Linked DNA regions of Bombyx mori. The protein of the gene in region 1 purifies or fractionates together with the protein of each later gene. This does not show direct contact. Links are inferred from orthologs where the notes say so. Each region holds a gene or a part of one and is shown on either strand. Other genes may lie near its edges. The genes, in order: WW domain-binding protein 2 and YAP65-like protein.

What was found.
Region 2: the proteins of WW domain-binding protein 2 (region 1) and YAP65-like protein purify together in Homo sapiens (affinity purification with mass spectrometry; 7 studies listed by BioGRID and IntAct, with this or other methods). This does not show direct contact. The link is inferred for Bombyx mori from reciprocal best matches to the Homo sapiens genes WBP2 and YAP1.

Annotation. Positions count from the first base shown.
Region 1 is NC_085117.1:14,735,363-14,739,960, reverse strand, and holds the start of WW domain-binding protein 2, read left to right. Parts: upstream 1-1,761; 5' UTR 1,762-1,941; coding exon 1,942-1,997; intron 1,998-3,186; coding exon 3,187-3,361; intron 3,362-3,797; coding exon 3,798-3,957; intron 3,958-4,551; coding exon 4,552-4,598. UniProt on the Homo sapiens protein: Acts as a transcriptional coactivator of estrogen and progesterone receptors (ESR1 and PGR) upon hormone activation. In presence of estrogen, binds to ESR1-responsive promoters. Synergizes with YAP1 to enhance PGR activity.
Region 2 is NC_085111.1:12,030,558-12,035,185, reverse strand, and holds the start of YAP65-like protein, read left to right. Parts: upstream 1-1,622; coding exon 1,623-2,095; intron 2,096-4,628. UniProt on the Homo sapiens protein: Transcriptional regulator with dual roles as a coactivator and corepressor. Critical downstream regulatory target in the Hippo signaling pathway, crucial for organ size control and tumor suppression by restricting proliferation and promoting apoptosis.

The DNA.
Region 1 (4,598 bases):
TTGTCCGGTCCACTTAATACATAACATTGTCTACGCTGTCATGCTGCTGTCATAGCAGACATTAACCAATCTCTGTTTTCGTTTTGAATTCAAACCAATGTCTATTTCCAACCTCGTTTGTGATTGGTTTTTGTTTCTTAAGCCGTTTTGGTTTCAAGTGGGGCCATTTTTTTTTTGAAATTTGTTCCGAGTAATAAATATAGTAATAAATATAATAAAATAATTATTTTATTAATTATTAATTATTATTTATTCGTAGGTAATAACGGTGGTTTATTAACTGTTTAGTATCTGTGAAAGTACACAAATATGGGAAAATGAAACAAAGCCGCTGGACGTAACTTCTCGGGATCCTCCAAAAAGTCCACTGAAAAAATCTTAGTAAATGACCATAATTTTACTGAGATTTTAATTCATCCTATATCATCTCAATTCATTTCATTTAATTTCATCCCAATTGATTAGTGTCTCAAATTAATCATCTTCATTTCATTTCAGTCCTTAATATCATTTTTCATAAAAATATGAATAATATAAATAAAAATAAAACATGACTTAAAGGTCTCAGTTACCAGGTCATAAAAATCTCTTAAAAAAAAAGTTTAACAGAGTCTAGACGTGCGCTAATCATGTTCGGAACTGGATTGAACATGACATCGTTCTTTTGAGTGTCGGAACTAGTTCCAGTAAACATGTTCGCGGAACTGTTTAGTTCCACGAACATGTTAAGGCTAGTAGCTGTTTGTAGTTTGTAGCTGTTTAGTTCCGCGGACATATTAAGTCTAGTAGCTGTTTGAAGCTGTTTAGTGCCGCGGACATGTTAAGTCTAGTAGCTGTTTGTAGTGTAGCGAATCACGTATTAAGTTATTATTTATTACACAATATTTTTCAAAAAAGGTATTAAAAATACAATTTTTTAAAAGCACTATATAAAAATAGATTGCCGCTTATGGTAATTATTATTGTAATTATTATTTTGTAAGGTTTTTAGTTTAAGGTTCATTGTTACAGCTGGTTGCATAATTTATTAATGTACTCTAATTACTTTGTCATAATTTCAACTACTCTACTACTTTCATTATTTTTCAATGTATTGTACGATGCACCGGAAACTATAACCTATCAGTTGTTAATTAAAATACCACGTTATTCTGATATACAACTTAAATTGAGCTCGTTGTAGCCTTACAACCTTTTTCCCATAACCGAGATACCGAATAGCGAAAGTGGTGAATGTTTTAAAATTCTCTAATTTTGAATTATGATTTTCTAAAAAATGGTCTACAAACACTTAAGGTTAAGTGCTCGTAGGAATGATGCATGGTCAAGGTCAAAATCCATAGCAAAACATTTTAATTTATTCAACTATCGACTGTAACACGTAGGTCGTAGAGCATAACTTCAATATTAATAAAAATGTAATATGAAAGAGCTCCACACGCAGTTTCATGCACTCGCTCCATCTCACTCCCTCGTATTCGTGCCATATGTCGCCTTATCTCTTTACGTGGACTCGTGTCGGTTCGAGACTCGTTCGGGTGGACTCGCCGCGCCACGCCTCCGCGCCGCGCGGTACCTATGCTCTAATCATGTCCGCATGTCCGTCATGTTCAACGCGTTCGTAGTTCCTGCATAACAGTACACTTGGAATGGAAATGGAACTGTCTGAACATGTTAATTTTGACAACTCGGATTGAATGATATAGTTCCATATGAGGACATAGTTCCAGGAACTATTTAGGTCCGGAACTACGCATGTCTAACAGAGTCCCTCTGAACATAGATTATACACTTAATGTATGCTTAATACAATTTGGTGATTACGATTGATTACGATCGTAAATAACGTAATAAAGACACTCGACACAGGATTCGATTCAAATTAAGTTTTTTGAACCTTAGTGGTTAAATGTTATATATAATCAGCACAATAATTGCATTATGTCTTTAAATACCGCTCACGCCGATCACGGAGTTTTGATACACGCAGGGGAATGGTGAGTCATCTTGTTTTCATATTTTCAGAATGTTCTACGCTTAACTGTACCATTCTTTAATCGAAGAAATACTTTGTAGGTATTAAAGTATAAACAAATGTTTCATAGTTATATTAGACTATGCCGCCACATCATTAATTATTATTATAAAAATAATAATAATGGTATAATGAAAAATATGAAAAAAATTAATAACTACTAGCATATAAGCTGTTTATGCGTGGCTCCAGTTACGGAGGTAACATGTCTTGTCTGTTTAATTCAGAATTCATCATGCCCAGATGAAATACGTATATTTAGATAGTATATTCTTGTTAATAGAGATTCCACCTTTGTAAAAACGTTGATGTGGAACATTATAATATGTCATACTTGCTTAGAAATTATTAGTCAACTAATTATGCACTGTCTCTGTCCCAATATATGAGATCATGATCTGTTAATTTTGTCCCAACCCTTCCATAAAGTTCTTTTGTTTGTGTTCATTAACCAAATTTTTTAATAATCTCAAAAGACTCCAAAATTGCAATATAAGTAAGTAACTGTTAAGTTTTTATAACTATAATATAAGAAAAAATTAAATTGGTCATTACTACCATTTTCACAAGCGAGTGTGCCTTCTAAATGACAAAAAAAACAAACAAACAAAGAAAAGTTTAATTTTCTTGATGTGAGTCGACTATTATCAAAGGCGGCAATGTGACTTTTGGACAATTATTGGTAAATCAGAAAAACGAATTATTGACTTTGTATTCCATTGGCAGTTACAAAACTCTTCTGAACGACATCCTAGATAAATAACAGGTTAAGTATTAACCTTTATTTAATGCAGGTTTTGAACCATATTCTTTGAAGGAGACGATTATATTCAAATCAATCTGTATTGACATATCAATAACATTTTTTTGTCCAAATGCACAGATTGCCACCTTTGATAATAGATGACTCATGTGTCGTTTTTGAAACTATTTTGCAAAAAATACTTTTCAATAAACTTTCTTGTTTGTACAAATAAGGCCGACTGGCCTCTTGGTGAAAAAAGGGTTGATTCAATGGATACTTCAGATTAATATAACACTAGATATTATCTTTAGTGGCATATGAAATATTGACAATTTTATCTAGAAGATGATAAAGAATGATTATCATTATATTGATATTTTTTTATTTATTTACTTTACTATTTCAGCATCATCTTGTTTTCTGACAATGTGTCAGTTGAATTCTATGGGAATGATACACCAGAGTTTAAGGGGATCAAGGAGGGACGGATGTACCTCACTACTCATAGAATGATTTACAATTCAAAGAAGAATACAGATGCCATGAGATCATTCAGTTTTCCTTTTATTGCATTGCAAGATGTAAGTAATTTATTTGTTAGATGAAGAACAACATAGGATATGATGACTAAATAAACTACTGCTGAATGCAGTTTGGTTTTTCAGAAATCTGTCTCTTGTCTGTCTTGGCTAAAAAGTTATTAAATATATTCATTGACATGAACTGAGCCAATAAAAAGAAATCAGTACTATTAATAAATAATTATATAGATAAATAGCTAATATTTGATTGTTATGAACCCATTTTAAATTGCAAATTCACTGCAAATGAGTCCATAGTAATAACATAAAATTTATATTATATAAAAGCTTGTTGCAATATTATGCACCAGGGGGAATAGTGTGAATAAGTGGAATCTGTGTTCCCTACAGCTGGAGACTTAATAGAAGCCTGTCTTCAGCAGTATTTCGGGCAATGTTGATGATTATGACGATGTGAATTGATATTGTTTTATAGGTAACTGTGGAACAACCTATGTTCTCTGCCAACTGTATAAAAGGTAAAGTTCGTGCCCAACCTAATGGCAACTTTATTGGTGAGGTCAAATTCAAGCTTACCTTCAAATCAGGAGGTGCTATTGAGTATGGACAAGCCATGTTAAAAGCTGCTCATCTTGGTGAGTAAAAGTAATGCCTACCTAATCATAATTGAATGCGACAAGTCTATATCAGTTACTGAATTCGATTGAAGACTACTGAAGAGTATGTTTACATCACAACCTTGAAATGATGTTGGGTTGTTGTTATTGAAGCAAGAGCTTACCTTCCATGCTATATCACTAAAAGTTATTGAAAGGCCCCTTACCTCAATTTTTAATATTGTATTATAGCTACAATACCAAAAAATTTTATAGTAGACAGCGGTTTGGCTCTGCCCCTGGCATTGCTGAAATCCATGAGCGACGCTAACCATTCTATCTATCTATCTCTTAGGTTTATGGCGTTTCATTTTAGATTTCGCCAATGTCAAGTGTATATAATACTCTGCTTATTCACTATCAGGTAGGCCGTATGCTCGTCTGCCTACATGGGCAAGAAAAAAATAAACAATAAAGTGTATAAAAGTAATAAGATTTGTTAGAATTCATTAAAAAAGACTTAATTATCTATTGATTCTACATATGAGCAATTTCTTCTATATAAAGCAATCCTTGATATGATATCAAATTATGTTTAGCAATATATAATAAATAAAATATAATTTTTTTTAGCTTCTCGTCATATGGCAGCTGGTGCTTCGCCACCTCCTTATACCCCA
Region 2 (4,628 bases), on another chromosome or scaffold:
GTCAATTTACCCCGGACGCTGGGTAAACTGGGACGGCCATTATTTTACCCATTATTTCTTTAAAATGAATAATTAAAATAATGTAACGGTTTTTATCACCTAGATACGTTCAAGACTCAACTTATTTCTTTGGTTGAGCAGTGACTATTTAATTGGAACTATTTTAAAATTCAATCTGAAGGTCGATTTTGTCCCTATTTACCCCATTGTACGGTACATGGCTGATGTCAAGACTAACATCATGGGAATATCGTTTTCCCCCGTAGGTACAATTCGCACGTACGTAAACTATCTAAATACAGAAAGTCCAGTTATGACAAGATTTATTTGAGTGTTTACATTGAAGAAATGAACTTTTTCAGTTGTTTAAAAGTATGACTAATCAATACCATAAACGTTGCCTTGTAACTTCCTTGAATCTACTCAACCAAATTCAAGGAAATTAATAATTTTAGTTGAAAAATGCTCCACAAATCTTATTCTTAGGTCACTTCGATCATCAATAGTACTAGTTACTATTGTTGATTGAAGTTAGGTCACCATCAAATTCAAGTCAATCCAAGTCAATATAGTTATTAAAAAATTAGGTATGTAAGAATACTGATTTCGAGTATTCTTACTATTCTTCTTGGAATAAAAAATTACCAAGGCATCTAGGTAAAATAAATAAATAAACGATTTTAGATTTAGGCCTAATTAGCTACCGTGTATACTTTGATTGTATACACGTCCGAGTATATTATGTTTGTATTAAGCAGTAAACGATACTAGCTTTATGGTGTTGCATTTTCTGTATCAAATAGGTATTATTGCTCACAAAAAATATTCTTTTGTGAATGCAATACAGGTCGTGGTATAAATATATGTAGATAGGTTATTTTAAATTTATAACAAAATTTGAAATTGAAATGAAAGTAAAAAAAAAACAAATTAAATTGTTTAATTTACAGGTTTACACGTTTCAGATATACCTAATTAAGTAATTATTATTTAAGTAGCAGTATTTCACACAATGCATCAATTTTTAAAGTTTTCATTTCAAAAATTTGGAGTTGGACTTAATGTATAGGTACAGTAAGTTTGTATATGCATAAAAAACGATAAACTATTTACTAAATAATTTCCAAATACCTATACAAACAATAGCAGTGTGTCTAGTCATAAACCAATCATTGGGAGCCAATACCTGACGAAAAGCTTCATCAGAAGATTTTTTTTTTATAAATTTAAGGAATAGATAAGGTTATGAGGAAGATACTTACTTATAATCAATAGGTACATAAAATTTATGAATAAAGCGCGTTGTATTCAAATTTTAAATCCGAGCGCAGGTAAAGAGATAGTAAGTAGGTAACGGAGTGGAGGGGCGTAGTCCGCGTCGCGTAGTTCTCGAAGACCGGTCCATGCCCGATGCTTCAAACGCTGTGCTGTTTGTGCGGGTGGTGTGGCGGGTGCGCGTGGGCAGGGAGATTCCGCGGTGCGGGCGGGGCGAGAATCAGTTGCGCGGCGAGCGCTATATTGTAAGAACGTTAGGTGGTACCGCGCCAGCTCGTCGCGTGCTAGTGTTGTGTCACAGCGGTGGGCCAGGTCGGTTTCGAGATTTCTTCGTTCCGACGTAAATAATGGCTCTCAACTCGGACGGTGAACAGAAATCGAACCTGGTCCTCCGCGTGGACCAGGATTCAGACTCTGTATTACAATCGTTGTTCGACACAGTGCTCAAGCCGGACTCAAAGCGACCGCTACAGGTGCCTCTTCGTATGCGACAGCTTCCCAAGTCATTCTTTAACCCGCCGTCGACCGGTTCCAAGTCGCCATCAGTGTCTCACTCGCGAGAAAACTCGGCTGATTCGGCATTCGGATCATCGTCTGCAACTGGCACCTCTACAGTTTCCCATTCACGGGCACATTCGTCACCAGCAAGCTTGCAACAAACTTACACCGCAGGCCAACAAAGTCAACAACCACCGTTGCATCATCAACACACGAAACAAAGATCTTATGATGTTGGTACACATATTCCAGACGATCTTGGACCCTTACCAGCAGGCTGGGAGCAAGCTCGTACTCCAGAAGGACAAATATATTATTTGAAGTAAGTACTGCATGAAATCGTAATAACCAATGTAATAAAATCTATTCATCGAAATATGCGGATTCCTAATTATGGTAAATTGTTAAATTAATGTTACTTTAATTATTATGAATGTGATTTTTTTAGCCATCGACAAGTTTCCTGTAAGTGGTAAAATATATTAATAGTTTGTACGGTGTACGAATATTTTGATAATATTAAATGTCTTATAAATTTTATAAGAATACGGGGAATTTAAGATTTATGTATATATGTACCTCGCTATGATCCCAACATATTTTCCGCCAGCTTTCCCACTCCAAAAGTGAGTATAAAATTACAATATATAATAAGATTTGTAATTAAGTTACTTGGTACTTATTTTTGTAGAACAAGTGAGATAGATTTTAACCTATACTTCTACTAGTCTTTGAAAATAAATTTTAAGTTAAAATTTAAAATAATTTAATAACTTTTTAAAAGTAACATTTTACATAACTTAAATACTAATATGTAAAGTAAAGTTTAAACTTATAAATAAGACATAATGGATGATTTAAAAAGATTCATGTGTAGATCTAAACATTGTCGTCATTCATTATCTTATCAGGATAAATGTACCTGCCGTCAGTTGGTACAGATAAGAATTATTGTGATAAGGTGAAAATGGTTCAAAAGAACAAGTGATCGTGCTTTGTACATGAGTGCGTTTATTATGATGTTCATACAATTATGAATCAATTTATTAGTGTACAGAAATAATACAGTAAAAAACAGTATAATAATGAGGACATCGAATATACTTTGGTCATAATACATGCCTGGATACAACATTTACATAAAAATACCAATACATATAGAAAAACAATATTTCCACTTGAATTTGGAACATTTGGTCTAGTGTTATGTTGAAAATTACTTAAGGGTATTGTTATAGTCTCATTTTAGCGTCAACAATAAAATTGAGTGTAATTATAACGAGAACTGTTATTGTGACAGCACTATACAAAGTAGGTTTGGAACTAAACGCATTTTATCCTGTCCACTTGGTTGGTATTGATCGAATTTTCGTGTACTATCGATAGCCCGAATGGTAGGTACAATGAAGCGTCCTTTGTGATAGCAAAAGTCTAATCTTTCATGTAGTCTTCGTGACTATTCGTTATCTGTATTAGAGAATCTGAAGAACTTCTATCCTGTGAATATAGCACTTAGAATCAGGTTTAGCTACCTTATTAACAGGAAATGACGAAAAATAAAAAAATGCAATTATTATCTATTTTTATATTCGGCAAATTTTTAACAAGCAGAATGACCGAGCTTGTATGGTGTAAGATCTCCGATCCAATCAATTATTACATACCTTTACTGAATTTGACAGGGAATTAGCTTAATAGCCAATAGGACAACTATTTAAAATTTCGATTCATATGAAGAGAAAGTCGGTTCTATCTCTAAATATTAGCTAGCTCATGAAACTGACTAGCGTGGCTAAAGTCCTAACTTCTTGTTAGAGCAATAAACTGGCCAGCATCTGATTTATATCATAATTCGTTCGGTTACAATCACTTTTAGAAGATCTCCCTCAATCATAAAAAAAGAAGATATAATATACTCCAAATGCTGCTTCAGTCTAAATATTATTAAACCTCTGAAATTCCACAAAGGGAAATGAAGCATTTCTGATGGAAAAAGTGCGTGTTTGAATCGATAACTGGTTTTCAATATTAAACTAGTGTCTTAAAGCTAACATGGAATACAAGAAATACCTACTGTTAAATTAATTTTTAAAGTCAACAGACTGTTATCCTGTTAACAAATCTCTTATGTAAAAAACAAAACAATTGCCAAAAATGCGTTAATTCTAATGAAAATAAAGAGTTAAAACGTCAAGTATCCACGTCTTGTACATAAAAGAATAGTGAAATACATTATACTATTTTTGACGCGAATGGTGAATGAAGTATATAGTTGAAATTGCTTCATTGAACAGACGTCGGTGTTAATGCACAAAGCCAGACAAGTGAATTTGAAATAATTGTTATCGATAATCGGTAATGGCTGAGCTGTAGTCTGGCGCCTTAGCCATTATATTCTTGTAATGTTTTTGCTGGTCTTGATGAATAACCAAATCGACGTCTTGGTAATTGAATTTTATCAGGGAGAAAATTGTCGTGCACAATCAAATAATTATCAAAAATATATTTTTTCCCTACCTCACTACTGGTAGCCCAATAGGCTATTCCAGCTATTCACGGTCTGGTAGGTGAGCTCATGAGCCCAACCTGAGAAAGCTTGCTAACACTGGCCCTAGCAAAAGCAGCTATTCGCCGAATCTACCATTGGATCAGAACCGCGACCGATTGAGAAGATTTTGCGAGAAACTCAGTGGTTTCTTTCCATGGGCTAGTTAAAACTCTTCGTTGTAATCGACAATTTTGACGAGGTCGGTGACCGATGCTTGAAGAGCCTAAAATTACGGAGAGCAGGGTGATCCGATTTAGACTACAATAGCTAAGTGAAATATTACAAAATAGGAATTTGTTGACCACAC